Linked DNA regions of Sus scrofa. The protein of the gene in region 3 binds, or shares a complex with, the protein of the main gene of each other region. Links are inferred from orthologs where the notes say so. Each region holds a gene or a part of one and is shown on either strand. Other genes may lie near its edges. The genes, in order: NCAPD2, NCAPH, NCAPG, SMC4 and SMC2.

What was found.
Region 1: NCAPG (region 3) and NCAPD2 share a complex: the UniProt entries of both Homo sapiens proteins name them as parts of the condensin complex. The link is inferred for Sus scrofa from reciprocal best matches to the Homo sapiens genes NCAPG and NCAPD2.
Region 2: the proteins of NCAPG (region 3) and NCAPH are in contact, whole or in part, in a crystal structure (PDB 6IGX), measured with the Homo sapiens proteins. The link is inferred for Sus scrofa from reciprocal best matches to the Homo sapiens genes NCAPG and NCAPH. Residues at the interface, in NP_071741.2 of Homo sapiens: Lys11, Phe14, Arg15, Gln18, His50, Tyr51, Lys53, Tyr54, Val55, Met56, Val57, Glu62, Ala64, Val65, Val68, Phe102, Ser106, Glu108, Ala109, Asn110, Ser111, Val114, Arg115, Ile149, Arg150, Lys152, Asp153, Lys154, Arg159, Glu188; in NP_056156.2 of Homo sapiens: Glu471, Ile472, Asp473, Phe474, Glu475, Asp476, Asp477, Ile478, Phe480, Val482, Tyr483, Phe484, Arg485, Lys486, Thr487, Ala489, Ala490, Thr491, Ile492, Leu493, Gln501, Asn502, Trp503, Ala505, Thr506, Thr507, Leu508, Phe512, Tyr514, Val516.
Region 4: NCAPG (region 3) and SMC4 share a complex: the UniProt entries of both Homo sapiens proteins name them as parts of the condensin complex. The link is inferred for Sus scrofa from reciprocal best matches to the Homo sapiens genes NCAPG and SMC4.
Region 5: NCAPG (region 3) and SMC2 share a complex: the UniProt entries of both Homo sapiens proteins name them as parts of the condensin complex. The link is inferred for Sus scrofa from reciprocal best matches to the Homo sapiens genes NCAPG and SMC2.

The regions. Positions count from the first base shown.
Region 1 is NC_010447.5:64,145,053-64,151,249, reverse strand, and holds part of NCAPD2 (condensin complex subunit 1), read left to right. Parts: intron 1-716; coding exon 717-914; intron 915-1,264; coding exon 1,265-1,399; intron 1,400-1,497; coding exon 1,498-1,585; intron 1,586-1,681; coding exon 1,682-1,862; intron 1,863-4,018; coding exon 4,019-4,143; intron 4,144-4,500; coding exon 4,501-4,731; intron 4,732-5,382; coding exon 5,383-5,557; intron 5,558-6,197. UniProt on the Homo sapiens protein: Regulatory subunit of the condensin complex, a complex required for conversion of interphase chromatin into mitotic-like condense chromosomes.
Region 2 is NC_010445.4:46,857,317-46,863,513, forward strand, and holds part of NCAPH (condensin complex subunit 2), read right to left. Parts: intron 5,812-6,197; coding exon 5,705-5,811; intron 4,678-5,704; coding exon 4,555-4,677; intron 1,937-4,554; coding exon 1,826-1,936; intron 920-1,825; coding exon 746-919; intron 1-745. UniProt on the Homo sapiens protein: Regulatory subunit of the condensin complex, a complex required for conversion of interphase chromatin into mitotic-like condense chromosomes.
Region 3 is NC_010450.4:12,799,478-12,805,674, forward strand, and holds part of NCAPG (condensin complex subunit 3), read left to right. Parts: intron 1-253; coding exon 254-428; intron 429-2,921; coding exon 2,922-3,086; intron 3,087-3,314; coding exon 3,315-3,450; intron 3,451-3,809; coding exon 3,810-3,893; intron 3,894-5,979; coding exon 5,980-6,052; intron 6,053-6,197. UniProt on the Homo sapiens protein: Regulatory subunit of the condensin complex, a complex required for conversion of interphase chromatin into mitotic-like condense chromosomes.
Region 4 is NC_010455.5:100,107,391-100,113,587, forward strand, and holds part of SMC4 (structural maintenance of chromosomes protein 4), read left to right. Parts: intron 1-1,044; coding exon 1,045-1,197; intron 1,198-2,715; coding exon 2,716-2,842; intron 2,843-5,015; coding exon 5,016-5,205; intron 5,206-6,197. UniProt on the Homo sapiens protein: Central component of the condensin complex, a complex required for conversion of interphase chromatin into mitotic-like condense chromosomes.
Region 5 is NC_010443.5:245,439,407-245,445,603, forward strand, and holds part of SMC2 (structural maintenance of chromosomes protein 2), read left to right. Parts: intron 1-1,332; coding exon 1,333-1,526; intron 1,527-2,354; coding exon 2,355-2,498; intron 2,499-2,515; exon of another isoform or gene 2,516-2,648; intron 2,649-3,829; coding exon 3,830-4,024; intron 4,025-6,158; coding exon 6,159-6,197. UniProt on the Homo sapiens protein: Central component of the condensin complex, a complex required for conversion of interphase chromatin into mitotic-like condense chromosomes.

The DNA.
Region 1 (6,197 bases), on a different chromosome or scaffold from region 3:
GTGATGGAAGTGGTTGGCACTAGGGCTGATTTGTGCTTCTCTGTCAGTAAGGTGTGGAACAGGGAGTGTGAGGGAAAGGCAGTGTTTATTAATAAGGATCAAAGGGTTTCAGCCTCAGATGGAAGGTAGAAATTACTGCTTTTCAAAAGTGTGTTGGTGGAGAAATGTGATTTCATATTCACCTGCCACCATGGTTACCTGGATGAGCCTTGTGAGAAAAAATTTCTCTTGGCCCTTGCTTATTTTGTCCCTGCATTCTCCTCTGAGCAGACAAGACCTTCTAGGATTCTTTTTTTTTTTTAGGGCCACACCCATAGCATATGGAGGTTCCCAGGCTAGGGGTCAAATCAGAGCTGTAGCCACTGGCCTATGCCATAGCCACAGCAACACTAGATCTGAGCCGCATCACTGACCTACACTGCAGCTGGCGGCAACGCTGGATCCTTAACCCACCAACTGAGGCCAGAGATTGAACCCATCGGTTAAGAACCCGATGAGCCACAATGGGAAGTCCCTGGAATTCATCTTTTTCCAGTGCTCTTGGGGAAAATACCTGTTGGGCAGTTGACAGAAAAAGTCAGAGCTGAGAAAAGCAAGCTTAATTAACCTTGCCTAAAGGCCTTACCCCTCCTTTGTGCCTGAATAAACACTAGAGTTTAGGGAAAGGACAGTTAGTATTGGGGTGCAGAGGCTTATACCAACCTAATTTCCCTCAGAATTACATGATGCGCAATGCCGTGCTGGCAGCCATGGCAGAGATGGTGCTGCAGGTTCTGAATGGGGATCAGCTGGAGGCAGCGGCCCGAGACACCCGAGACCAGTTCTTGGACACCTTGCAAGCCCATGGCCACGACGTCAACTCCTTTGTGCGGAGCCGTGTTTTGCAACTTTTCACCCGGATCGTCCAGCAGAAGGTGAGCAGCCTTCAACATGATAAAGATACACAGTATCCCACTGTGTACAGACTGAAGAAGGGAGGAATCCAGGGTCAAAAGGAAGTAGCTGTGTCAAAGAAGAGTCTAGAATTCAGGATTTTACTACGACTAGTAAGGTCTTCCTCTATCAAGGACAAGGATGCAGGGCTCCATTTAAGGACTACACTGCATCTTAACCACTGCGAAAGAGTACTCCTGAACTATTCACATCCCATAGAAAAATTTCTTTAGAATGAGTGGGTATCTCATGTAGAGTGTACTTCATGAGCGTCTTGAGCAGAACGGAAGGTGTAAGGTGGGATCTCATCCTCTCTTCTTACCCCGCGTAGGCTCTACCCCTGACACGTTTCCAGGCAGTGGTGGCCTTAGCAGTGGGGCGTCTGGCAGACAAGTCGGTGCTGGTATGTAAAAATGCCATCCAGCTGCTGGCCAGTTTTCTCGCCAATAATCCCTTTTCCTGCAAGGTAAGAGGGCTTGTTCCACCCCAAAAAGGATAAATTAAATGGAAAAAGAGGTGAAATTCCATGACTTCATGACCCTGATGTTCATTTTACCCTGATAGCTTAGCGATACTGACCTTGCTGGACCACTGCAGAAAGAAACCCAGAAATTACAAGAGATGAGGGCCCAGAGGCGAGCTGCAGCTGCTTGTGAGTGATCGCTGCATGGGCATGCTCACCTCAGACATCCTTCTCCCTCCAGCCGGAAACTGAGTGCAAGAGTCTAAGTGAGACTTTCTCATTCAGCCACAGTGCTGGACCCAGAGGACGAGTGGGAAGCCATGCTGCCAGAGTTGAAGGCTACCCTGCAGCAGCTGCTGAAGCTCCCCCAGGAAGGAGAGGGGATGCCTGAGGAAATTGCCGAGACAGAGACCGCCAAAGAGGTGGAAAGTCGCATCCGTCAGTTGCTAGCCAAAGCTAGTTACAGGTATGTGAAAGCCTAGGATATTCTCGAATGACCTGTTAGGTTTATTTTTATTTATTTATTTAGTCTTTTTGCCTTTTCTAGGGCCGCTCCCGTGGCATATGGAGGTTCCCAGGCTAGGGGTCTAATCAGAGCTGTAGCCACCGACCTACACCACAGCCACAGCAAGGCGGGATCCGAGCCACATCTGCAACCTACACCACAGCTCACGGCAACGCCGGATCCTTAACCCACTGAGCAAGGCCAGGGATCGAACCCGCAACCTCATGGTTCCTAGTCGGATTCGTTAACCACTGAGCCGTGACAGGAACTCCAAGGTTTAGAGTTAACCTTTGAGAAACAGTGTTTTTTCAAATGAACTGCACTTAGGGTATGCTGGTAGGTATTTTCATGGCAGTAATGGTCTGAACACCAGGTTTATGCTAAAGGCAAAGTCTGCGATTAAGTGTGCTTTCTACTTTTACAAATGTTTAAAGAAACTACTAAAACAACTAAATGTACATAGTATTGTAATTAAATATGACCAAAGTTCTGTTTCATTTGAAGAAGAAGACCTATAAGTATAATTCTGATTCTGTAAAGTAAGTTGCTTAAACTTTCTGGGCCTCAGTGTCATTATTTATTTTAAAATAGTTTATTAGGGGGAGCTCCCTGGTGGCTCTGCAGGTTAAGGATCTGACATTGTCACTGCTGAGGCTCAGGTCACTGCAGTGGTTTGATCCCTGGCCGAGAAACTTCCGCAAGCCAGGGACATGATTAGATCGTAAGATCTGTAACGGCTTTCTAATTCTTTTTTTTTTTTTTTTTTTTTTTTGTCTTTTTTGCCATTTCTTGGGCCGCTCCCGCGGCATATGGAGGTTCCCAGGATAGGGGTTGAATCGGAGCTGTAGCCACCGGCCTACGCCAGAGCCACAGCAACGCGGGATCCGAGCCTCACCTGCAACCTACACCACAGCTCACGGCAACGCCGGATCCTTAACCCACTGAGCAAGGGCAGGGACCGAACCCGCAACCTCATGGTTCCTAGTCGGATTCGTTAACCACTGCGCCACGACGGGAACTCCTGCCTTAATCTTTAATCAATCTAATATGAATCCTGATCTTAGAGATAAGATTTTTTTGTCTAGAACTTCATCACAGCAACCAAAGCCTTATAGCCATTAACAGGTATTAAACCTCAGCCAAAGTTACTTGTTTACTTCTTACCTAATTAGGCTATTCAGAAAAGGCTAAAGAGAAGGTGGCCAGGGGCCTCCAGGCATCCTAATGATCCTTCAGAAAAAGGCTTCTTCATGGAGTTCCCACTTGGTACTGCAGGTTAAGGATCCAGCACTGTCACTGCAGCAGCTTGGGTTGTTGCTGTGGCATGGGTTTGATCCCTAGCTCAGGAACTTCAGTATGCTGTGAATGAGGCCAAAAAAAAGAAAAAAAACGCTTCTTGCCATGTTAGAGATGTCTCTTCCTCCAGCAATCTTCAGCGGTTGAAGCTGGGTGAAGTTCTTAATAATAGTGCAGGCTTTGGCTTCCAATTACAAACTTAAACATGTGTTAGAACAAATCTTTTTTTTTTTTTTTTTCCTTTGTCTTTGTCTTTTAGGCCCGCATTCAAGACATATGAAAGTTCCCAGACTAGGAGTCTAATCCTAGCCTGATCCTTAACCCACTGAGCAGGGCCAGGGATCAAACACACAACCTCATGGATCCTAGTCAGGTTTGTCACCACTAAGCCACAATGGGAACTCCAGAACAAAACATTTTTAAAGTTTTTTAACTTTTTTTTTAATGGTTTAATAGCAGTGTTTTGTTTGTTTGTTTGTTTTAACAGAAACCTGCTTTTTTGAAATTAGACAATATATTCACATTGTAAAAAATTTAAAATTACAGGGACATGCCTTGAAAAATCCCTTCCAAACCTGCTTTCCGGCCATTCACTTCCCTTCTCTTGGGAAGGCAATGCTGGTTGTTACAGAGCCTCTTTCTAGAAATAATGTTCAGTCAGACAGTCAAACATGTTTTCATTTTTTCCCCCTTTTTACACAAATGACAGAATTCTCTACCCATAGGTCTCAGTTCTTGATAGAATCATGAAATAGGCTCCCTGACACAGGGTTGCAGACACTCTTATGGTGCCAAATTGGTGACAGATGATGTTCTGTCAGGCAGGCCATCATTCTAGCTCGAGAAGCCATAGGCCACTTCCAGGAGTCTCAGCCCTTCTGTCATATGGACCCAGAGGATTCAGAGGAGACCAGGTTCCTGACTCTCTTAGGAACTATCTTCAAAGGTAAATTCCTTTTCCTTCTTCAGTCAATAAGCAAGACATTTCAACTAGTGTTTATGGACTGTTTATGTCAGATGCTGGCCTCGCTGACAACCTGATGCTGAAAGAGGCCAAAGGGGAGTTAGCAGTGCTTCTGCCTTGGAATGGAAGCAGCCCCAGCCCAAGATCGATAGTCATGGGGTATCAAAGGGTATTTCCAGACCACAGAGGACTCGAATCTTTTTTGAGATGTGAACCAAGATACTTAATTCTAAATTCATGCTTTCCTCTTGTAGAAATGAATATCCAGGGATGTTTAGAGCTGTTGGTTTGTCCATATGCCCCTGTACAAAAACCATCTTGTAATTCTCTGACTCCTAGGCCCAGAAGCTCCCACCCAGGAGAAGACTCCCCAGGGGGCTGTGGGGAACTTGGGCTCAGGAGAAACTGGCTGTGAAGACCAGTCAGCGCCTGAGAAACACAGGGAAGATGATGAGCTGGTGAAGCAGGAAATGCTGGTGCAGTACTTGCAGGACGCCTACAGCTTCTCTCAGAAGATCACAGAGGCCATTGGCATCATCAGCAAGATGATGTATGAACACACAACCACAGGTGGGCAGCGCCCCCTCTGTAAGGATGGGGCTTGAAGTTGGAAAAACCATTCTTGCCCATATTTTATTGACAGTCTGTCTGCTCCTTTGGGTTTTTTGTTTTGTTTTGCTTTATTTTTATTATAGTTACTTTATAGTGTGGTACCAATTTTTGCTATATAGCAAAATGCCCCAATCATTCATACATGCATACATATATATATGTATACACACACACACACACATTCTTTTTCTCATCTTCCATCATGTTCTTTCCCAGGAGATTGGATATAGTTCCCTGTGCTATACATTAGGGCCTCGTTGCTTATCCATTCTAAGTGTAATAGTTTGCATCTACCAACCCCAAACTCCCTGTTCATCCCACTCTCTTCCCCCCTTGCCCTTGGCAACCCCTCGTCCTGTGGTATTCGTCTTTCTTTCTGTATTTGCTCCTTAGACCTGCCCAGATACTTTACTTCCCCATGCTTTGTGTAGCCCTGTGGAGGACATCTATTTTAGCGCATTTAGTATTTCACGGTAGGTCATTTAGGGGAGTCAGCATCCTCAGGGAAAATGAAGGCTTCCACACGATGTTGATTTACATTAAGGAAGGTTCTATGAGTGTTGAGAGTTTTGCCAAGCAGATAGGTGACATTTGTGTCTGTCCTCTCAGTGGTGCAGGAGGTGATTGAATTCTTTGTGATGGTGTTCCAATTTGGGGTACCCCAGGCCCTGTTCGGGGTGCGTCGCATGCTGCCTCTCATCTGGTCAAAGGAGCCTGGTGTCCGGGAAGCTGTGCTAAACGCCTACCGTCAGCTTTACCTCAAACCTAAGGGTGACTCTGCCAGGTAGATGGGCCCCATTTGCCTTCACTAACTTTTCTGAAGTCAACTCCTCAGAATGTGTCTGGTCTCCTAAAGGAAGGTGGGGAAGTGGGCACCCTTCTAGGGGAATTCTAAATCTGGAGGCAGTAGGTCTGTAGTGGGGCTTGGGATGGGGCTGAACTTCCAGTGAAACCCATCATGAGCAGTTATCTATTTGTTTTTTTCCCCCAAGTCAAAAAATATTTTTATTAATGGTAGAATCAGAGCTGTTAATTGAACTGTGTCCCCACAAATTTCGATTTTTAACTTTTTTTTTTTTAATAAAGTATAGTTGATTTACAGTGTTGTGCTAATTTTTGTTGTACAGCAAAGTGGCTTGGTTATGCATATATATATATATATATATATATATCTTGTCATTATGATTTATCCCATGAGATTGGATATAGTTCCCTGTATAATACAGTAGGGCCTTGTTGTCTATCCATTCTAAATGTTTGCATTATTCGTTTGTTTTTTTTTAATGTTTTATTGAAGCGCAATATTATCTAAGTTATAGGTGTATAGTGATTCACATTTTTTTAAAGGTTATATTCTATTTATAATTACAAAATACACCCTGTGTTGTACAATATACCCTTGTAGCTTATTTTATTTTATTTTA
Region 2 (6,197 bases), on a different chromosome or scaffold from region 3:
GCATATGACAAGTAAAACTAAGCAGAAGAAAGAAGCATTACCATCAGCTCTTTGTAAAAAGAAAAGTCTGGAGTTCAAATAATGAAAAAAATCTATTTACACCACAAAGTTACAGAGCTTCCTTTGGACATTCTAAAACACAGTCCCTCATTTCATCTAATTTCTTCTCAGTCGAGCACAAAAAAGGTACCCTGGAATTTCAGTGTAAAGAAGTGAATCAAATATATATATTAAATGGAATGATCATTTAATACGAATTGAATCTGGCCAAGACTTTCTAGAGCCAAATAGCTAGCCTTAGCCAATAGCAGAGAAACCAATTCTCTCGGCCTGCAGGCTTCATTCACATACTTTGCTTGTGTGGCTGGTTCGCCGCTAGTCATCCAGTTTATAACAATCTTTGGAGAGATGGCTAGTTCCACAAACATAACTAGCATCGGTCCATTCCCTACAGCCTTATTTAAGAATCAGGCACTTAAGAGAGCAGTGGGTTAAAACTGAGAAGGAAAAACGTCAAGCTCATGCTAATATGACTCTCATAAAAGAGGCAAATTCAACAGATCTCAGGCAAATAATATTGACTATGAGGAGTTCCCTAGTGGCCTAGTGGTTAAAGATCTGGCATTGTCACTGCTGTGGTTCCAGTCACTGTTGTGGAACGAGTTTGATCCCTGGCCTAGGAACTTCTGCATGCTGTGGGTGCAGCCAAAAACAAAAACAAAAAAATTCTTGGCTTCATCTTTACCTTCTGAGGCTCAGCCACCAGATTTGACTCTCCATAAGTTGTGATATCTGACCCTTGGACTTCAGGCATGTCATTGTTGTCTTGTGTTGTCATAGGTGGATGGCCAGAATGGTCAAAGGTCCCAACTGGTCCCACAGATAAGTCCTCTGACTCTTCATCATCACTGTCAGCAGCCTGGGCGAAGAAGTGAGCTTTTCAAATTTGGCAGAGCTGTTTAAAAATATCCTTGAACAGATTCCATACATAGCAGGAGCAGAGCACCTGAGAGTTCGTGATGTCACATCAAACCTAGAATGGACGTCTAGGTGCCTCCAGGGAGCCCAGCACCAGACCTGATCTGTGGGATGGGGCCGGGAGTTGGTTTTTTAAAAGGCTCTCTGGAGGACTCTAATGCACACTGAGTCTGAGGAGCACTGATCAAGAAGGCAGTTTGGATTTTCATTAAAATATTAACAACTTTCTTCTAAGAAAGAAAATAAGGTGAATAAACTATTCTTCCACTTCTTTTCCCTCTGCCCACCTTCAGGGACACAGATGGGGCCTTCCCCCACTTCCATCCACTATCTCACTTGTAGACTCACAGAGGGATTTTGAGGTTTACTCTGAGATCTAAAGATGGGAAGTAGCTTATACAATTCACAATCGGAGAACCAAAATCAGAGCTACAAGCCTGGTCTCGTGAAAGCCACTCCATAGGCTATTTTCCCTGTCAGAACACACTGTCTTCATATCTGTGTGTTTTGTCTCCCCAGCCAAAACATCAGCTCCTAAGAGTGGGAGAAGTGTTTCTTTTCCTTAGAAATCCCAAATGACCACGGCGAGCACTTTGTACAGGCTAAAGACTCCATCCACATGGTTGCCGGTGTACTACAGTATGTCCGTGTTTTTCTGCACACAGAGCTCAGGGTAAGGCAGGCGCAGGTTCTGGCTACCGCCTCAGCTCTGCTCAGTTTGATGCCGGGGCAGGCGGGCATCCACAAACCCTCACCTAACTCAGAATCGCCCCCAGCCTTCTGCCTCACAGGACAGGTTGAAACTCTCCTGCTCAGAAGAGAGGATGGAGTTCTGGCCCCTGTTTACCTGTAATCCAGGGCAAAAGTTGGAGGTATCGTTAGGGTTGTTGTAATCATAGGCTTCAACTTCTTCATAATGCTCGGTCCCTGCCCTTTGGCCTTGGGCCATCTTAAGTAACTAGAATGAAGGAAAGAACAACTGCAGAAAGCAATTTCTAGAAAAGCAGCTAGTAAACTAGGCTAGGGAGATAACCTTAGTTCCTATAATCATTTCCCAGCACGTTAGGGTTCTGAGAGCCCTGAGAAGTCATCTGATCCAGCCAACTTTCAACTAACTGCACAGCTCTACCCTAGAGCAAGCCCAGGGCTGCAGGGCTCCAAGCTACGTCCAACCCAAGTAAACCAGAGCAGCCAGCCTGCACTTAGGTCTACATACAACTTTATTTGAAAAAGTGTTCTTTCACTAAAAACAAAACCACCTAGGAGTTCCCATCTTGGCTCAGTGGTAATGAACCCAATTAGTATCCATAAGAATGTGGGTTTGATCTCTAGCCTCACTCAGTCGGTTAAGGATCTGGCGTTGGCATGAGCTGCAGTGTAGGTCACAGATGTGGCTCGATCCTGTGTTGCTGTGGCTGTGGTGTAGGCTGGCAACTGTGGCTCCAATTCAACCCCTAGCTTGGTGTGGCCCTAAAACAAAACAAAACACACACACACACACACACACACACAAAACCATCTAGAGCTATCTGAAAAGAAGTCAGCTTGTTGCTGCTAGAACAGATCTGAGCCACATCCATGGGCCCTTGTTCCCTTCAAGGGTTTCAGAGCAAGTCTGCGTCCTCTTTGGGGAGTGCCTGTGGACCACAGTCCTTCAGATATTCTCAGGCCATTAGGCCAGTGATCTTCAGTGGGGGGGTGTGTCTTTGGAGTGAAGGAAATGGGATTAAGACTATGTACAGTTTACAAAAGTACAGTGAATATTTTAATATAACATATACTACAAGACTTGAGAGTTGGTGTTAGTAGATGCAAACTATTGCATTTGGAGTGGATAAGCAATGAGATCCTGCTGTATAGCACAGTCACTTGTGATGGAGCATGATGAAAGATAATGTGAGAAAAAGAATATAAATATATATATACATATATGTGTGTGTGTGTGTGTGTGTATATGTATGACTGGGTCACTTTGATTTATAGCAGAAATTGACAGAACATTATAAACCAACCATAATGGAAAAAATGAAAATCTTAAAAAATACTACAAAAGCAGACCAAAAGACCTCAATGCTTTTGTAATATAAATCCAAAAATAAATTAATAGATATTTATTAAGAAATGCCCACTTGCTCTACTTTTCTTCATATGTTACAATTTCTAAATCCTTCTCCATTTGGAATACTCTCCTCTGGTCACACTCTAAATTGTCCAGGAGTTCTCACTGTGGCTCATCAGGTTAAGGACCTAACATCATCTCTGTAAGGATGCGGGTTCAATCCCTGGCCTCACGCAGTGGATTATGGATCCATCATTCAACTGATCGGGTTAAGGCCTCTGATTTGACCCCTGGTCTGGGAACTTCCATATGCTTCAGTAAATAAATATATAAATAGTCCATAGTCTACAAGAAATTTTTTAGGAAGTATATGTGACCCCCTCACATACTGGCTGGCTGCTATGAGAATCACCCTTTAAAATATCAAACTGGATGTGTGAATAATCTGTATCGTCTCCAGTACTAGGCACTCTTCAGTGTGGCTCTGCTGGCAGGAAGAGGGGAGGTATCCCAGGCTCTCACTGCCTGGCTGCCCTACTACACACCCAGGGAAATCTGCTCCTGTGGATAATCAGAAGCAGGAATTCTTTCCTCTAATGGAAACAATTATGGAAAAAAACCACAAAATACAACTCCTGGAGTGCAATGATCCAATGACTTTGTTTTACCATCTTCACATCTGAATAAGCAATTACCCCCTAGGCCAGGTTCTTCACTGTTCATAATAAGGGCTTGAGGGAGGAACAGGTAGCTTGTGGCCAGGAGAAGCAGCTGGGGCTTGGGCCAGGTGTGGTGAAGTGTCCTCCCATCTCCCTTCAGCTCCCCAGCAGACTGGTTCTGCTCCTCCACCTCATGAGTCGAGGGTCCAGTATGGTTACCCTGGCAACAGAACTCGCACTTGCTGCTTAGCATCACCAGAGGAGGGAGCATCCCAGGCAAAGGAAATGAATAGCCACTGGGCTGCAGTGGAAGCTGCTCTTAGAGCACCGATCTGATCAGCCATGGAAGGAGCTTGGGCAGCATGTGCAGCACCAGGGAACCCAAGGACCATATGGTCAGATGCTTGGCATCTACATCACCTGCATATAACAGCAGGCTTGCATCTACACCTGGATCACAGGGAGGCAACATGAGCTGGGGAAAGCATCTGGCTAGTGAATCCACAACTATCATGAGAAACTGACAGAATCAAAGACTAAAGAAATAACTAACATCTTGTAAAAACCTTGACAAAAACTTGTTTAGCACTCTGCATTTTGGCATATAGGCCTGAGTGTCCAGCAATCCAACCAGGGGAGATATCTGCAAGTCTTGAGCATGTGTCTGTCCTACAAGATTTTCCCTCTAGCTCTGCCTTCCGATGTATCTCCCGGAGATGCCCCTGGACTAACACAAACTCCTTGCACTCTTGCCATCACCTCAAAGGCATAGACAGTCACACTATCAGCCACTTGATACCTCTGATGCTATGAACAGGTTTAACAATGTGACTTTAAGGAATCAATGAACAGCCTTACCCTGGTGCCTGGTTTGAGATGCAGCTGGACAAGACTTTCAGTCTCATAGTGGAAATCTGTAGGAAGAGTGGTGGCTCTCCAATTCTGGTTCTCCAAAGTGGACTTGCTCAGAATAGTAGCAGCCTATTAATAAAAAACAAAAAAAAAAAAAGCTTTTAGCCATCTTTAATAAAAATGGTCTCTATTTTCATTTTTTGTTTTTGAAAGGCCTTTGGGAAGGGTTTGGGTAGCACTCATCTACCATCAGAGTTCTTATTTATATGTAAAGGAGTGATTCTGTCAGATATTATTTATATTCTAAACTTGATTCTCTCTGCCACTGAGTTTGGGACTATTTCTTAATTCCTCCAGAAACTGAGGGAGAATGAAGCCATCCATTTAACTCTGAGTTAAATTCATAATGAATTTTTTAAAAATCACATCTGAGGAGTTCCCATTATGGCGAAGCAGGAACGAATTCGACTAGGAACCATGAGGTTGCAGGTTCGATCCCTGGCCTCGCTCAGTGGGTTAAGGATCCAGTGTTGCCGTGAGCTGTGGCATAGGTTGCAGACGTGGCTTGGATCTGGCATTGCTGTGGTTCTGGCATAGGCCAGTGGCTACAGCTCTGATTAAACCCCTAGCCTGGGAACCTCCATATGCCGTGGATGTGGCCCTAAAAAGGACAAAAAGACAAAAAATTAAATAAATAAATAAATAAAAATCCCATTTGGGAGTTCTCTTGTGGCTCAGCAGGATCCAGCATTGTCACTGCAATGGCTTAGGTCACTGCTGTGGTGGGGGTTCAATCCTTGGCCTGGTAACTTCCACATGCTATGGTAAAAGGTAAAGAGGAGTGCAAAGAGTAATTTAAGAAATGATAATAAACCCAGCACAGGGAGTTGCCGTTGTGGCACAGCTGAAACGAATCCAACTAGCAATGATGAGGTTGTAGGTTCTATCCCTGGCCTCACTCAGTGGGTTAAGGATCTGGTGTTGCCTTGAGCTGTGGTGTAGGTTGCAGATGTGGCTCAGATCCTACGTGGCAGAGGCTGTGGTGTAGGCTGGCAGCTGTAGCTCCGATTCGCCCCCTAGCCTGGGAACCTCCGCATGCCACAGGTGCGGCCCTAAAAGCAAAACAATCAAACAAACAAAAAAACCCAGCACAAACCTTTGTTTTTCGAAAATAGACATGAAAGTCAATATCATCATCAAAGTCGATTTCAAAATCCTTCTTTGCACTCTTCTTTCTGTTCTCTGATTGTGAGGTAGTATCTTCTGCAGAAATGAACACAGATGTCAACACTGCTCACCTCTGTGGCCTGTTTCTTCATCTTATAAAATCACTTGACAGGCTTATTACCCACAAGACAGAATTTGTGTCTGAGCATCACAACAGCACTAGGAAAGGCAAATCATATATCTAATTTTCATCTTTAACTAATAATTTGTGTTTTTGCTTAAAAAAAAAAAAAGGCACAGTAAAAAATCTTTTTTTTTTCTTCAGAGAGAGAATGCAAAACACCTAACACTGGCCTAGCGCTTCAGAGGGCTGCGGAGTGCTGCCTGTATACAGCCCGGTGGGCCCTCCGGAGCCTGGGTGTCAGTCCCACCTCAGGCCATTGTTTGAAGTCATGTGGGTAATGGGGCAGTAAAGTCACCAG
Region 3 (6,197 bases):
AAATCGGAGCTACAGCTGCTGGCCTATACCACAGCCACAGCAATGCAGGATCTGAGCTGTATCGGTGACCTACACCACAGCTCACGGCAATGCCGGATCCTTAACCCACTGAGCGAGGCCAGGGATCAAACCCTCTTCCTCATGGTTACTAGTTGGATTCATTTCTGCTGTGCCACAACGGGAGCTCCTAAAAATTTTTTTAGTGGTCACATGCTTTTTCTTTGCCAACTTTGCTCAAATTGTTTTTCAATAGGAATAACCAGGAATGTTTTGAAGAAGCCTTTCTTCCAACTCTACAAACACTGGCCAATGCCCCTGGCTCTTCTCCTTTAGCTGAAATAGATATCACTAATGTTGCCGAGTTACTTGTAGATTTGACGAGACCAAGTGGATTAAATCCTAAAGCCAAGGATTCCCAAGATTATCAGGTAGGTGAGTTAGCCTTTGGATGGTAAGGAGTCACTGTTGCTTTGGTGAAACAATCCCTTTCATAGATACTTTGAAATAGAAGCTGCATATTGACCTTGGGATTCCTGTTTTATACGGTAGCACATAGCACAAAGAACAAGATCTTCTGCAAATACATGGATGAACCTGGAGGGTAGTATGCTTTGTGAAATAAGTCAGACAGAGACAAATACCATCACTTATATGTGGGAATCTAAAACAATAAGTATTAATAAAACACAGATATGGAGTACAAACAAATGGTTACCAGTGGGGAGAGGGAAGGTGGAAGGACAAGATAGAAATGAGGGATTAAAAAGTGCAAGATAGAAATAAGGGATTTACATATAGAATAAATAAGCTACAAGGATATATTGTACAGCACAGGGAAATACAGCCATTAGTTTGTAATAACTTTAAATGGAGTACAATCCATTAAAATTTTGAATCCCTCTTGTATGCCTGAAACTAATATGACATTGTAGATGAACTATACTTTTAAAAATGCAAAAGAACTTTTGGGAAATGGGGAGAATCACAAAAATAGAAGTAGTCAGTGCTAACGTTTTTGCTGCTAAAGTTAGCAAAAATTCGTCGTCCTTCCTACCCTCTCCTCACCTAGTGCTGGGATGTTAATCGTTCTGAACCATGACCTGTCATGTAGGACTCTCTGAGTCCTCAATTGTTGGTTTTTCTGCTGTGTTTCTAATACAAGGAAGGAGAATTCAAAGAATGAAACTCACCTCAAGCTTAGTTTTGTTTTTAATTCAAAGATGCGGGGTAAGTGTGTAATCTCACACAATTTAAATGTAAGCTGGTTTTTAACCCTTTAACACCATTTGCTCAAACATTCACCATTTGAAAATCAGTGTGTTAATGATTTCAGATACTAGCTGACTAAGGTGAAAGGATTGGTCTTCTGTTTTAATTGACACTTAGTAATTGAAGTATGCAGCCACTATGTTACATGTTATTGGAAAGATTACAAAGGATATTAAGGCAAAATCTAGTAAGGGTCAGTGATAAAGCTACTAAGTGCTTTATTTACTTAGGCCTTGTGGGAATTTGAGGGGTGGTTTGCATAGAGAAGAGACTTTAGGAAAGATGCTAAATGTAGCTGGTTGTACAAGTCATGTCGGGGAATTATGGAAGAAATCATTACAGCTAAGGATCTCGAATAAGCCTGTTAGGGCAGAACCTTAGAATAGGGAGTTTGGAGTTGACTCTGTTTGCAGAGCATGTAATGAAAGGGTTAATGGGATGAAAATTATTAGGAAAATTAACTTGGTGGTCATTATCATTAGGTGAGGTGAATTGGTAAGAGGTATAGAGAATATTAACAAAGAGAGCAGTTAAAAATCGGTACAGGAGTTCCCGTCGTGGCGCAGTGGTTAAGGAATCCGACTAGGAACCATGAGGTTGCGGGTTCTGCCCCTGCCCTTGCTCAGTGGGTTAAGGATCCGGTGTTGCTGTGAGCTGTGGTGTAGGTTGCAGACACAGCTCGGATCCCGCGTTGCTGTGGCTCTGGCGTAGGCCGGTGGCTACAGCTCCGATTCGACCCCTAGCCTGGGAACCTCCATATGCCGCGGGAGCGGCCCAACAAATAGCAAAAAAAAAAAAAAAAAATCGGTGCAGTTAGGAGATAAAAGCTTACAGAAAAAGAAATAGAAAAGAGAAAAAAATTGTGGGAGTTCCTGCTGTGGTGCACTGGGATTGGCAGCATCTTGGGAGCACTGGACACAAGTTTGATCTCCAGCCTGGCACAGTGGATTAAGGATCCAGAGTTGCTGTAGCTGTGGGCTTGGGTCGCTCAGATCTGATCCCTGGCCTGGGAACTCCATATGCTGTGGGGCAGCCAAAAAAAAAAAAAATAGATACAAAAATTTAGAAGAGAAAGCTTTGCAAGGCAAAGGAGCTGAATGAAGTATGAGTGATAGAAGAGCTCAAAGAAGCGATTAACATTAGGGCGTACTCTTAAGATGAACATCTTGGAAGGGCGAGGGAAATAGATTGGGCAGAGCACAAAGTTGAAGTGGCATGTAGTTGTAAGATCCCAGCTGATCTCATAGGAGGTTCCGGAATTGGGATAGTTCTTTGATTTGTCCAGAATTGAGATAAGGCTAGGCTGTTGTATCTGTATATCTACGAGTTACTGAATGTGGACTGACTCTTAGGGAGGAGGTGTGACCTTAGGCAGAGCACATTGTCTTCAACCTGGGATCATTTCTGCATTGGGAACTTTGAACCTCCAAAACTCATGCTAGCCTAGAGAATGAATGATTCAGTAGTAAAAGTGGAGCAGGCCCTGTACCATAGCATCCACTGTAAGAAGGGGAGCTCATCTGGCGAGTAGGTTAATTGGTTTTTAGACATTCTGCATTTGGGATTATGTCACAGTAGTTGGAAATGATGTGTAGGACTGTATTATGATCATACCACCTCAGTTTTTAAGGATTTTTCTCTTGATTTTCCAGGCCTTAACAGTTCATGACAATCTGGCTATAAAAATTTGCAATGAGATCCTGTCATGTCCATGTTCACCAGAAGTTCGGGTCTATACTAAAGCCTTGAGTTCGTTAGAGCTCAGTAGTGATCTTGCTAATAAAGATCTTCTGGTTCTGTTGAATGAGATTCTAGAGGTAAGTAGTTTCTAGTTACTCTCAATGTGTATATATCTTTAGCAAAGTAGAATTGATATGGTTCTAGTAATTTATATATACATGAGTATATTGTGACTTTGCTCTTTGAAGTAAATGTTGCCTTCATAAACTTAGTAGAATTTTTAGAATGTTTTTAAACAACTTTGTTAGTATATATCTTTTTTTAAGATTAGAAAATGCTGCTCTAAAAAATATTTTCTGTTATAGCAAGTAAAAGACAGAACGTGCCTGAGAGCTTTGGAGAAAATCAAGATTCAGCTGGAAAAAGGAAATAAAGAAAATGGTGACCAAGCTGTAGCAGCGCAGGATGACGGCACAGTCACGACTCTTTTTCAAAGTGAAGGTAGTAACCACATGCCTATAAGATCCTGTCCTTTCCACCTTTCACACACATGCGATTGGATATCAGGAATGGAAGAAAGGTTTTTCTAATTAAGTCCCCTCGGGGAAGTGTATCACTGGTAAATATTTGTTTTATTTTTATAAGTTTTTTGTGTGTACGTTTCTTATCATATGACCATGCAAAACTATGTTCTTAAGAGTTTTGCTTGCTTATTTTCCAGTGTTCACATTTTTTGAAACACCGTTCCATGGTACATTTTCTGTAGTTGCTCTTGGGACTGGTTGTCATTTATTTGGTCATTTAAAATATTTCATGAAGCTGTTTTTAATTTATAATTGTTGTATTATTTACTTTAATAGAAAAGAATAAAGAAGTGTATATAACTCCTGTCAAAGATGTAAAGGTAACCCGAATGAAATCCACTCAGAAGCAGACTAACAGAGGTAATATATGAACTAACTTTAGAATAAAATTTTTCAGTTTTCTTATCCAGTGAAATACATTGTATCCTTAGGGATAAGCATTTTTCAGTATCTTAGATATCCTTAACTTTCCTTTTTGTTTCAGCTGGTACTAGGTTTTTCTTTATGTCTAAAAGATAGTATCAGTGTTGGCTCCAAGTGCTTTTGATTGAAAAAAAAATATATATATATATACAAAGGACTGTTTGGGTTGAATAAAGATTTTTTATCAAATGATCAATAATTTTTTTATATTATCAGTTTGTGGTCTGTCTTTACTTGATTAAACTTTTTTTTTTTTTTTGTCTTTTCGCCTTTTCTTGGGCCACTCCCGCGGCATATCGAGGTTCCCGGGCTAGGGGTCGAATCGGAGCTGTAGCTGCCAGCCTATGCCAGAGCCACAGCAACGCGGGATCCGAGCCGCGTCTGCGACCTACACCACAGCTCACGGCAATGCCGGATCGTTAACCCACTGAGCAAGGGCAGGGACCAAACCCGCAACCTCATGGTTCCTAGTCGGGTTCGTTAACCACTGCACCACGATGCGAACTCCTGATTAAACATTTTTGTCCCTTTTATTCTCCTAGAATTTTTCTGGGTTTCTGTTTTCCTTTGTATTGCATATTTTTCTGACAAAATTTATTTCCCAAGGGATATCCAACAAGAGGAGATTTTTTGCAATAATATACATGACTGTTAGGGGATCACTTAAATCTGAAATTTGATTTTTTTTATTGTCTTATTACAAAAGTAATGCATGCTTATTATAGAAGAATCAGAAAATACATCCAAGCAAACTATTATAAAGAATGTTAATTCCACCTGTGAGCCAACCATTATTTTAATCTCTGAAAAATACTCTTTGAGGTCCTTTTCAATGAATACTTAATTCTTTTTCTAAATGGAATCTGGCCATAGTATTGTTTTGTAGCCAGTGATTTATTTAAATACTAATTGCTGGATATTCTTCCACATGAGTCCCATGTTGTTGGATGTTTTCTTGGGAATAACTGCATTAGAAGTTTATAAGCAAATATGTAAAGTTGGAAGGAAACAAAAGGTTATATAAATTTCAACCAAATGATCATACTGAATAATTTTAACTTTAAAATTTTTATTATTTATTTTTTTTGGCCCTGGTGTGTAGCAGCTTGATGTGGTAGTGGTATCTGTGTCCCAACTAGGGATTGAATCTGGGCCGCAACAGTGGAAGTGCTGACTCCTAACCACCAGACCACCAAGGAACTCCCCCCAAATAATTTGGTTTTGATTAGACTGCTTTTAGTCAGATATGCCATGAGAACCCCACCTCTTTTTTTTTTTTTTTTCCCCCCAGTAGCTCAAACTTTATATGCTGTTTTCTTTCTTTTCTTTTTTTTTTGGCTGTGTCTGTGGCCTGTGAAAGTTCTTAGGCCAGGGATCAAACGCAAGCCGCTGCAGTGACAATGCCAAGTTCTTAATCTGCCGCGCCATAAGGAAACATCTGCTGTTGTATTTATGATAAGTGGTGCCACTTTACTTCCTACTCTTATAAATTTCTAGCTAGCAGAATTTTTGTAATCTCCCTAGCGTATAAAGGCTTTAATTTTTATGCTAAAATGTTTTAGAGCACACATTTGAATTGAGCATGTATGTTTTAAAATATTTTATAAGAAACCATACTTTACTGATTAAAGTTGTTTCTTTAGGATCTGTTTATGGACTTAACCAATCTTACCTAACCTTAATTTTTAATTAGTTTCTCCATATACTTTGTGCAGTAAAAGGTACTTTCTTTATATAACATGTATTTCATATGCTTCTTTCTCCCAAATAAATTTAGCAAAAATTTGCTTCCTTATAATTCAGTGTCCATATTTTCCCTTGCCTGATATCAGAGGTTGCAAAAGAAATTAGTAAAATTTTAATCTTATTTGGATTCATTTTTTCCATATGATAATTTGTACCATGCTGGCTGGGAACTAGGAGGAATTGTGTTGAAAGTGGAAAATAAAGGATTTGGGTAGCCCAGGAACTAGATTAAATATGAGCAACTTAAATTTTGATAATGAATTATACTGTCTTTAAGGACGAAGAACAGTGACAGCTTCAGCTAGAATGAGCAGGAGACGTCAGACTGAGGCTGAGACTGACTCTGAAAGGTGCGTGTGCCATGCGAGTCTAGAATATAGAGAGGCCTAACCTAATCTTCATTTTTTAAAAAAATGTTTAGAAGAAAAAAATTGTAGTTTGTTTATACTGTGACTATATAGCAAGATAATCAATGAAAACTATAAATAGCTTTTT
Region 4 (6,197 bases), on a different chromosome or scaffold from region 3:
GGACATTTGAATCATAATGTATGTAATCGCTCAACTGACATTGGTTTCTTTGCAGTTACTGCTGTATCACATAGTTGTCTTTTTCTTTGCTTTCCTTTTTTTTTTCTTTTTTGGCCACCCCATGGCATATGGAGTTCATGGGTCCAGGGTCAGATCCAAGCCACAGATGTGACCTAAGCTGCAACTGCAGCAACACTGGATCCTTAACACACTGTGCCCAGCTGGGGTGCAAACCTACATCCCAGTGCTCTAAAGACACTGCAGAACCCTTTGTGCCACAGTGGGAAGTCTCATAGTTGTCTTTTCTATCTCACAATAATTCGTTAAGGTATAAATATAACAAAGACTTCTGATGCATGTTTCCAAATTTTATTTTTAAATATTTTATATTCCCGCAAGTATAAGAAAATGTCAAAATGTTCAGGAAAAACTGTTGTTCCATTACCATCCTCAGAACAATATATATACTTTTCCTTAAAAACATGTACTTGGAGCTTCTGTTCTGGCTCAGTAGGTTATGAACCTGACTAGTATCCATGAGAATGTGGGTTTGATTCCTGGCCACGGGCTAAGGATCCAGCATTGCCATGAGCTGGGGTGTAGATTATAGATGCAGCTCAGATCCCATGTTGCTGTGGCTGTGGCCTAGACCGGCAGCTGCAGCTCCATTTCAACCCATGGACTGGAAACCTCTATATGCTGCAGGTATGGCCCTAAAAGGCCCCCCAAAATTAATTCTTTAAAAGTAAACATGTACTTGAATGTCCTAGATACCTAACTTTTTCCAAAGAGTTCTCTTGATTTTTTTTTTTAATAGTTTATGTTCTTTAAAAAGGACCAAAAAAAAAAATTCTCTTCATCTGATTCTGTGATGCAGAAGTTAATTGACCACCTGCTAAGCTTTAGGATTTGGAATTGAAACTAGACTGGTTTTGTTCTAGTCTTTAAGATTGCAAGTTTGGGTTTTCTTCATTCACAAGTTGACTTTGGTATTAATCTGAAATGACAGAGTAAGTAAACTTATGTCACTGGTATTCTTTTTAGGTAAATAAAATGGAATCACAGTTACAGAGAGACTCTCAAAAAGCAGTGCAAATCCAGGAACACAAAGTACAACTGGAAGAAACAGTAGTTAAGTTAAGGCATAGTGAACGAGAAATGAGGAATACACTAGAAAAGTTTACTGCAAGCATCCAGGTACTTGGTGTTTTGTTTTTTGTATTTTTTTCCTAATCAATTTTAGCTAAAATTATTGGAATTCAACAGCAGTTTGGCAGAATCATTTTGCTATTTGCTCACAGTTTTCAAATATAGGGGAGGAAGAAGGGCGGGTCTTTAAGTCGTAAGGCCTATTTTGTTTCCTTAAGTACTAATGGATAAATGCCCTATCACAGTGATGTCCAGCCACAGCCATTTCTATTTCCATTTGTACTTCATGGAAATGAAATGTGTCTTCCCTTAACTATTTAATAACCCTTTTTTTGTTTCATTCTCATTTCAAACTGAAATGTTTACAAAGTTTCAAAAAAGCAATGCATGCCCTCAAGTCGTCTTTAAAAAACAAGATTTTATTTGAGTTCCCGTCATGGCTCAGTGGTTAACAAATCTGACTAGGGACCATGAGGTTTCGGGTTTGATCCCTGGCCTTGCTCAGTGGGTTAAGAATCCGGTGTTGCCATGAGCTATGGTGTAGGTCACAGATGCGGCTCAGATCCCGCGTTGTTGTGGTTCTGGTATAGGCCAGCGGCTACAGCTCCAATTCGACCCCTAACCTGGGAACCTCCGTATGCCGCAGGAAGCGGCCCTAGAAAAGGCAAAAAGACAAAAAAAAAAAGATTTTATAAAATACCCAAAAGATTATCACCTTTAATTCTTACGTGTATTATTCAACTTTTAATGTAACTATCTAGTGTTTAAGTGTGTGTGTATGTATATGGTAGATACAAATCAACATTTTGAATATGCATGCGGATTTTTAATTAGTCTCATGCTAACTTATTAATTATGGTTTTCTTGACAAGCCAATGTAAATTTGCTTTGTCTACAGTTGCATTGGCATATTTTTTTTTACCCTAATTTGGTAAAGTTTTTCTGTTACTATGTACACTACTATGCTTAAAATATCTTTATAGGCATCCCTTAATACACTCATCCAGTTATTTCCTTAGGGTAGAGTCCTAAAGTTATAATTATTACTTAATATGTGTAGCATATGTGAATAATTTTTCCAAGTCTTTGAACACACTAGGTACTCCTCAATATGTTGTAAGTTTGCTACTCTAAAATATGTCATAATAATCTGTCTTTGTAATGAGTTTGCATGTTTCATGTGTTTTCTTGGCCATTTTCATGTTTTCTTTTGGTGTTTTGTTTTTTGTTTTCTTGCTTTTTAGGGCCACACTTTGGGGCATATGGCGGTTCCCAGGTTAGGGTTCGAATCAGAGCTATAACTGCTGACCTACACCACAGCTCATGGCAACGCCAGATCCTTAACCCATTGAGCAAGACCGGAGATCAAACCCACACCTCATGGTTCCTAGTCAGATTTGTTTCCACTGCGCCATGACGGGAACGCACATTTACATGTTTTCTACCCTTTTTCCTATTTGTCTTTTTTTTAAAGATTTTAAGTGCCTTTTTTAAATTAAAAATGTTTAAAGTAAATGTTACTGTTAAGTTAAAATACTGATCTTGAATGTTAAAACATTTCTGTAGCGTTTATCAGAGCAAGAAGAATATTTGCGTGTCCAAGTTAAGGAACTCGAAGCTAATGTACTTGCTACAGCCCCAGACCAAAAAAAGCAGAAATTGCTGGAAGAAAATGTTAATGCTTTCAAAGCAGGTATGTTTAAGGATACAGACTTCCCCCTCTCCCCAAAATATGGTCAAAGACAGGTTTGTAATATTTGAAATGTTTAAGATAGCAGTTCATAGAGTAAAAAACAGCAGCTTACATATGTAAAGTAACAACTCTGTTTTATGGTTTTTTATTTTTTCATTTTCAAAAGGCTATAAAGTACTATATTTTAAAATAAGTACTTAATATGACAGACAAGAAAACTGGGGCACAGAATAGTTTATATAATCTGCCCCAGGTCATATAGCATTTGGTTGTGGTATATGAATTCAGGACCAAGGTAGTCTGATTCTGGAACCTATGCTCTTTCTCTTTTCTCTCTCTCTTTTTTTTTTTTTAATTTTCCAACTGAATTTAATTTTGAAAAAAAAAAAAAAACCACTTAATAGAAGAGTATCTGTGTTGTGCCTCATTTGCAAAACCTTCAGGAAAAGACCAAAGTAAACCTCCCAAGTAAAATGTAGACCATCAAATGAATTGGCAAATTAACTGTAAACATAACCTCAAATCAGAATTAGGGAGATAAAAGGGGAAAAAAACTTCTAAATTTCTTTAAAGAGGATGAAATCTTCCACAGAAAACTAAGAGTATGATAGATTTTTTTTTTTTCTTGTCTTTTGTCTTTTTAGGGATGCACCCACAGATTGAGTCTTTTTTTTTTTTTTTTTTTTTTTTTAAGTACAATATAGTCTTAGCTGGAACCCATGGTCTTTATTTTACATTTTGTAATACTATGGCCAGATCTTCCCAAGAACCCTTCAAGATAGTAATTATTGTGTCAAAACTTAGACATTTTTCGTTCCAGAACATTTCCTCTTGTGTACACATAACATGTGAGTGTTCTACCAAAATAAAATCTTTAAGCAAAAAAGGGAATTAGTTCATAGACTCAGTCAGGATTGGATTTGACATTAAAATTTCTGATCATGCACTTGGAGCATCCCTGCTTTTTTGTTTCCATTGTGGCTTCAATTAAACATAGATAGATATGCATCTTATTGCAAGAGGAGGAAATGGTTGTTAATAATGACAAACCCTTTCCTGGCCTGCAGTTCCTTAACTAGTGACCCCAACAAATACAAGAAAGGACCCCTGTTACGGTTTGGTTTGTGAGGAAAAGAAGGCAGATACTTGATTGTTCATCCCAAAGAAGTAGTTAGAGTGGAGTTGGAACAGTTACCCAAATGTTCGGAAAATGGGGGTGTTTTCTTCCGGAAGAAGAAGAGGTATAGTTCTGTGACCTACATCACAGCTCATGGCAACACCGGATCCTTAACCCACTGTGCAAGGCCAGAGGTCAAACCTGTGTGGATACTAATTGGGTTTATTACCACTGAGACACGATGGGAATTCCAACACTATCTTCAAAAAAATCATTGAGACAAATAGTCAAGAAAGTACCCTATAATTTTCTCTTTTTTTTGGTCTTTTCTAGGGTCGCACCCAGGGCATATGGAGGTTCCCAGGCTAGGGGTCTAATCAGAGCTGTAGCTGCTGGCCTAAGCCACAGCCACAGCAACGCAGGATCTGAGCTGTGTCTTCAGCCTATACCACACCTCACAGCAATGCCGGATCCTTAACCCACTGAGCAAGGCCAGGGATCGAACCCGCAACCTCATGGTTCCCAGTTGGATTTGTTAACCACTGAGCCATGACAGGAGTTCTAACCCTAAAATTGTTTTTGAAAGGAGTTTCTGGGCATGAAGCCATTAAGAAATAAGTAGATTATGTTCACAGCTGAGCAAGAGAATTTAACCACATGTTATATTGACAGGGTATTTTGGTTTTGTGTTATAGGGTTTTTTGTTTTTGAGGTACTTTTCCTTTTTTTTGGTCTTTTTAGGGCTGCACCCACAGCATATGGAGGTTCCCAGGCTAGGGGTCGAATCACAGCTGTAGCTGCTGACCTACACCACAGCCTCAGCAACACCGGATTCTTAGCCCACTGAGCGAGGCCAGGGATCAAACCTGAATCCTCAGGGGATACTAGTCAGATTCGTATCCACTGAGCCAGGAGTGGAACTCCGAGGTACTTTTTCTTAAATGTCTAAAATTTCTTTTGCATGCATCATGTTAAGTCATGTTGACTGAAGAGATTTACATCTAGCAAGTGATGCTCCTTAGCCTAGAAACACGAATTTTTTTTTTTTTTTTCCAGAATATGACAGTGTGGCTGAGAAAGCTGGTAAAGTTGAAGCTGAGGTTAAGAGGTTACACAACATCATTGTAGAAATCAATAACCATAAACTCAAGGCCCAACAAGACAAACTTGATAAAATAAATAAGCAGTTAGATGAATGTGCTTCTGCTATTACTAAAGCCCAAGTAGCAATCAAGACTGCTGACAGGTACAGTATATATACCTACACTGTCTTCCTGTTCCCTATATCCACATTGGAAAAGAGGTTAATACTTAAATGTCCATTAAATGTTTCTGTTACTGTTACTTATTAAGCCCATCTGACATGTTATTACCTAATAGGATTTTAATAGGTGGACATATATAAAAAGCATTCTGACCAGTTTAAAACTGATAAAGCAGGTATGCTTTAGCAAAGTGTGATTCTATAACTCCTCAGTTGTGAGGATATGGAAGTCAAAGTTTTGTATCTCTGGCTTAGAGGAGTAGGTATAAATCATTTAAATAAATCTAGGTCTTAAGAGAATAAGGATGAGCTCTCTTAGCAAAATTGCTGTAATTTAAATTTTTAATTATCCAGATTATTCCATTGTCTCAATTTTTTTTAATATTCTTAGATCTTGTTTATAAAAGTGTTTCTGAAATAAAGCTAAGTCTGTATATAAAATGTTTGGATGTAAACAAACATCCAAACATTTTAAGACAATTTTTTGTCTTAAAATTATAACATTGGCTGCAAATTGATTCTTTGGTTATTCAGTTATTGCTGTGTCTTTTGTTCAGCGGTAAGGTGCTAATAAATAATAAGCCTTTTGGTTTTGCCTAAACATAGTTAGCAAAGTAATTGTAACTTTATTAAGAGAAAATATAGTCAGGTGTGTGTGTGTGAGAGAGAGAATGTTGTGGTCCCAATCATCCTTCCATATCCATCCCCCTGCTCCTGCCCCTTGCCCTTGGAAGCACTTGTTTCCACTGACTTGATCCAAGAGGTGTTTGTTTATTTGAAGGTAATAGCTTCATGGGTGTAAAGATGTAAGAATCTCAATCAGACAAGGAAATGACAAAAATAAAATAATTGAGTGAGACAACTTTGCTTCATAGTCTAAGATCAGATGATATATAAAGGCTTATATAAGAAGTTTCGGAGTTCCTGTCGTGACTCAGTGGTTAACGAATCTGACTAGGAACCATGAGGTTGTG
Region 5 (6,197 bases), on a different chromosome or scaffold from region 3:
TTTTCTCCTTATCTGCTTTTTTGGAAGACATTGAGAAAGAAATAGTTTGAATGTTTGTTAGAAGTCACAGTAAAGCCATCTAGTCCTGGACTTTGATTTATTGGGAGGTTTTTGATTACTTATTAAATCTCCCTACTAGTAATCTGATTTTCAGATTTTTCTGTTTCATCATGATTCAGTCTGGATAGATTGCATCTTTCTAGGATTTTATTTCTTTTACATTGTATAATATGTTGGTGTAACGTTGCTCATAGTAACTTTATGATTCTTTGTATTTCTGTGATATAAGTTATAACATCTCTTTTATTTCTGATTGGGAGACTCTTATTCCTTAGGTCTAGCTAAAAGTTTGTAAATTTTATATTTTAAAGAACCAGCTCTTAGTTTCATTTTTTTTTCTATTTATTTTTAGTGTATTTCATTTATTTCCACTCTGATCTTTCTTATTTTCTTCCTTCTACTAACTTTGGTCTTTATTTGTTCTTTTTCTAGTTCCTTAAGTTGTGGAAGTTAGGTTTTGTGTTTGAGATTTTTCTTGTTTCTTAAGGCAGGCGTTTATTGCTATGAACTTCATTCTTAGAATTGATTTTTGATACATCTAATACAAATTTTGGTACCTTGTATTTCCATTATCCCTTGTGTCAAGGTATTTTTAAAATTTTTCTTTTGATTTCTTGCAGTGACATTCTATAATGAAAAGTAGCATAGTAAATTGTAGTCATGGCTTTCAGGGTTATATTTGTACCTAGATCCTAACACTTAATAGTGTATGTCAGATGTGACCATGACACGGTCATTCTAGCTTACTTTTTTATTTTTCAATATATAAATTTAGAGGTAATATGCTTCATACTAGACATGGTCTCACAGTGTTTCTCTCGTTTAATAAGAGGTTCCTTGGATTAAAATAAATGAGCAAGGAACACTTAAGTAGCAAGCTTGTTTATGAAGTTAATGGTAAGCTTTCTTACTTTCAGTACTGGTTTTAGGAAGCATACAAGTATGTAAATAGGTAGTCTGTGATCTTTTTAATAAGTTGTTTCAAAACCTTGTTTAAAGTAGATAAGTTGTAAATGAAGTTTATGTTACTCAGTTTCATGTGGGAAATAATTCCTTTACAGACCTTTAGATAATTCAAGTATAGTTCTTAGGTATGGGCTGTGTTTTAACATACCATTTCTAGAATAAGATTACAACAGTTTTTTAAAAAAACCTCTTGCTTTTGACTTTCCATACCTTTCCTTCTGTTAAAAGTTGGGTTTGTAAGCCATTATCTATAACTTAATAGTTTGAAGGTCTCATTTAGGTGTACTTGTCTACTTTCTGATGCAGAGGAAAGTGAGGAGACCTTAAAAAACACCAAAGAAATTCAAAAAAAAGCAGAAGAAAAATATGAAGTATTGGAAAATAAAATGAAAAACGCAGAAGCTGAAAGAGAGAGAGAGCTAAAGGATGCTCAGAGAAAACTAGATAGTGCCAAAACTAAAGCAGATGCTTCTAGCAAGAAAATGAAAGAGAAACAGCAGGTAATACCTTTTTTTGAAATGGCGCTAATCTTTTAACATCATTATAGAACTGAAGGTAGCAGACCACCATGGTTGGCCTTGGCCTTATTCATCAGTATTTGTTACCAAATCGCAAAGTGAAATATGTCTCTTTAGGAGACAAATTACATATCTTATGCGTCAAAGTAAAATATGCTTTACTCTGAAACCCTACAATTGTTACACAGGTTTAAGTAGGAATTGCATTGGCTTGCTAATTTTGGAGATAGAGCAAAATTACCTTTTGGTAAACACTTCATTCATGAAAAATCTGTGTTTTTTTCTGTCTACAAAGTCTGGGTACTCAGTCACTCACTATTCTTTATAATTTTACTTAAATCTAACCTTTTTTCATAGTTTTTTTTTTTTAACCCACCATATAATTCTGTCATTAAATAGATGCACAAAATATTTTCTAAAGAACTATAATGGGAAAGAAGAAAATTAAAACGGGTTTTTTTGTCATTGAATAATTGTTTTAAAAAGGCTTTACCTCTTCTGATTTATCTGCTACATAGAATTCTATACTGTTTTCCCCTATTGGAATAAAAGGGTAAAAGAAATAGTTTATAAAAAGTTCTTTGAACCCATAAAAATGGTATGTATGTTTGTCATCATCCTTTTTTAAATATAGAAAAGTAAGTTTCCTTTCCCCTTTCTTCTTTGGAAGCAGCTTACATGTTTTTGGTGGTTGAGTAACAAAGCTGTGGGTCTTACTTGCTTAAGAATCTTGCTAATTTGGTTGACATATATGTATTAATGTTTCAGTAGTTAACAACCTGTTGAATGCCCAGGTTGTGTTTCTTATAGGAAGTTGAAGCTATTACCCTGGAGCTGGAAGAGCTCAAGAGAGAGCATGCATCCTGTGAACAACAGCTTGAAGCTGTAAATGAAGCTATCAAATCCTATGAAGGCCAGATTGCAGTAGTGGCAGCAGAGGTGGCTAAAAATAAGGTAAGATTTTTACTTACCATGTTGGAGAAATTACAAATGTTAATCTGCTTCTGAAATGGTGGTTTGAAGATGTTTGACTTTAGAGGTCTCAGCTCCTTCAATCTTGTCATGATGAGAGGCAAAATGATGATTACCAATCCAGAAATAGACCTGAAATAATACAGTTGTTTTAGTCTAGGTCTACTTAGAATACAAAAAACTACATAGTAATTTGACCAGGCAAAGTTTAAATAAAACATTATTAATAGGAGTTTGGAATGGTCCAGGATTGATTGCTAAGGGGTAAAGAGAACTCTGTAGAATGTAGGAACAGCAGATAAAGGGAACAGTCCCTACCCATAAGGCTAAGGCAGTGCATCCTTGGAAGGAACATCTGGAAAGGAGCCCCATTCTCCCTGCAGAGGTGAGAACTACATTTGGTTAGAGAAGGAATAACTGTGGCCCACTGGTGGTGAAGTTTAGTTGAGTATTAGGGAAAGCCATGCACAGGAAAGTGCTGCACAGGGGCACTTGCTGGGGGCCATGGGGAGATGCCCATTCTGCAGACATGCTGCAAAGCACCCACCGCTGGGATACCAGGGGAAGCCCTCTAAGCTGCTAGCCGCTGCTCATGACAAGCTTGCCCTTGAGAAAAAGCATATCAGAACCAAGAAGTAAAGCCTCTTCCTTCCTTATGAATATTAGATATCTTCTTCACCTTTTCCAATGATTTTGACCTTGAATTCTGTTTTTCTTATAATTTCTACTCCTACTTTTAAAAATCGAGAAATAATTGGCATAATACTTATATTAGTTTTAAGTATACAATGTTATGATTCAATATCTGTATACATTGTGAAATGATCCCAGTATTGTTACCATACATAATTATAATTTTGTTTATTTTGATGAGAACTTTTTAAGATGTACTTTCTTAGAAACTTTCAAATATACAGTAGTGTTAACTATCGTCATTGTTTGCCCCTCCTAATAAATATGATCTTGTATATGCTCCCAAAATGCTGCTTTCTTGAGATACCTCACAGGTCAGATTCCAATAGTCCCTCCTCCCCCCAGGTGGTCCCAATTACACTGCATCTTGTAGCAACTTTGTTGATTCCAGCATGAACACTGCCTCTCATCTCTTTTTTCTAGTGGAAGTACAATTTTTTCTTTTAATCTCTAAATTTATTAGTCATTTTAATGGGGATATAAAATGTAGAGGGTTAGGTGACCATCTGCCTGTAATCACATTGCCATCTTGCCCAGAAGTCTGTTAGATGATCTCTCAGTAAACTAAAAATGTCCCCATTTTACCTTGCTATATATTGTCTTCTAATTATTTGTTTTAGGAGTCAGTAAATAAAGCCCAAGAAGAGGTGACCAAGCAAAAAGAAGTAATAACAGCCCAAGACAACATAGTTAAAGCTAAATATGCAGAAGTAGCAAAACATAAGGAGCAAAACAATGAATATCAGCTTAAAATTAAGGAACTGGATCACAACATCAACAAACATAAACGGGAAGCTGAAGATGCTGCTGCAAAGGCATGTTTGTGTTGTTCATTTTTACCCTTAATCAAATATTTGGCTCTGGGTTGTTGAAATATTCCAATAAACTGCTCAATGAAGAATTTTATGTAAATGGCAGAACTACTATGTAATGTAATTTGGAGGCTTACAACTATGTTAACTACTTAGCAATCACCAAATGTCAAAATTATTTTGTTTTTAAATTTAATTTCAGGTGTTTATTCTCATCTCCAAGATTTTTAACCAAATATTTAGTGGTCTCCCATGGAAATGACTGTTTTTTATCCCCAGATGTTCATAAAACTAATTATTAATGTATGAGTGGTAATAATATGTATTCTTTACCTTATTTCAAGTTGAATATAGAGAATTCACAGATAAATATACACAGGCAACTTTTATAATATGGACTTAATCAATTTCCAGATGTCCTTATGAGAATTTGCAGATTTTATAGCTTCATTTGAAATCTGATGTTAAGCAGTTATTGTTTTGAGGTTATCCCACAGGTTTTTGGTCATTCTCAAGGTTTCTCTCATGTATCACAATGCCTTAACTACTGTTTTTTTGTTTTTTTTTTTTTTGCTTTTTGAGCAAGGCATATAGAGATACCCAGGCTGGGGATCAAATCGGAGCTACAGCCGCTGGCTTATGCCACAGCCATAGCAACATGGGCTCTGAGCTGTGTCTGTGACCTACACCACAGCTCACGGCAACACCGATCCTTAACCCACTGAGTGAGACCAGGGATCGAACCTGCAACCTCATGGTTCTGAGTTGGATTCTTTTCTGCTGTGCCATGACAGGAACTCTAACAATGCCTTAACTACTTTAAAGGGAATATATGATTTTTTCAGAAATTCATTGCTTTGTTAAAAGGCTGCATTTATGTGGTCTTAATAATTCACTCTCATCATGTTTTTTTACTAGTATGTAATAGTTTGGTGCCTTTTAAATCTTTTTAGCCTCATAAAAGTCCAAGAGATTTAACTTCAAAAAAGATCAGAGCCTACAAAACAGTGTCCACCTTATCTGAAAGAACCATGAGTGCTTGCTCAGATTCATTGCTTAGTTTAAACAAGATTTTTTATGTCACATCATAATGTCCTATTATTTTATTAGTGTTGAGTTCCTGTTAGCTTAGTAGCTTGATACTAGTAGATTCACTGAATTATTATTATCAGTGCTAATATTAATAATTTTTTTGTGATTGAAAATGCTAGTTTTGGTGATTGCCAGGCATTTTAGGTACAGTTAAGGGTAGGGCATAGAAAGAGGTACCTGGAAGCAGAGCTGCTAAAAAGCCAAGGGTTCCTTGAAATACGTAGTTTATCAAATATTTATTTCATACTATGCCAGGCACTAGCAATATAAGAATGAGCATCATGAACACAGAAGGCATTCATAGAGCTTACAGATCAGCAGGGAAGATAGACTAGAAATGATGATTTTACTTGGGAGTCTAGCGGTGAGACCATACCCATGAAATTAATAAGAATGACTGGACAAGGATTAGATTCTACCAGTAAAAACCAACCTTAAACAATTCTAGTAGAAGAAAGTCTTCCTTAAGCAGTATAATTAAAATTTTTAAATGTTATATGAGGAAGAATTTTTTTGTGCCTTTTCTAAAGAGGTTGGTGGGGAGGGAGTCAGTATTTAGGACAGTTTTTTACTTAGATTGTAATTTCAAGAAGATTTATTAGATATCAGTCAGGATTAGGCTTGCACATTTTACCAAATCTGACTTCTGTATTCGTATAACACTTAACTTGCAGGAGTTGTTTTTTGAAGCAATATATTGAATTTGGTACCATCTAGAGCTTCATCTGACTTATATTTCATTATAATGGAGATATTTTATATATGTATACTTCATAACTGTTTCTCTGAGTTGACTCTTATTTTAATGCTTAAGTAATAGGAAGATCTTTTTCTGTATCATCTGATGTTTCTTGACCCTATCCTCTAGGTCAATTACAGGTTCACTGTCTACAGTGAACCTCATTTTTTCAGATGAGTCGTTGTGGGATTTTTTTTTTCCTCCAAAATTTTTTATTTAAAATTAGTAAATATTTAAGAAACTAATTTTTAAATGTAGGTTTGTAAATAATGATATCATTTTATTGTCATCATGATATGCGGCTAGGTGTCCAAAATGTTGAAAGATTATGACTGGATTAATACA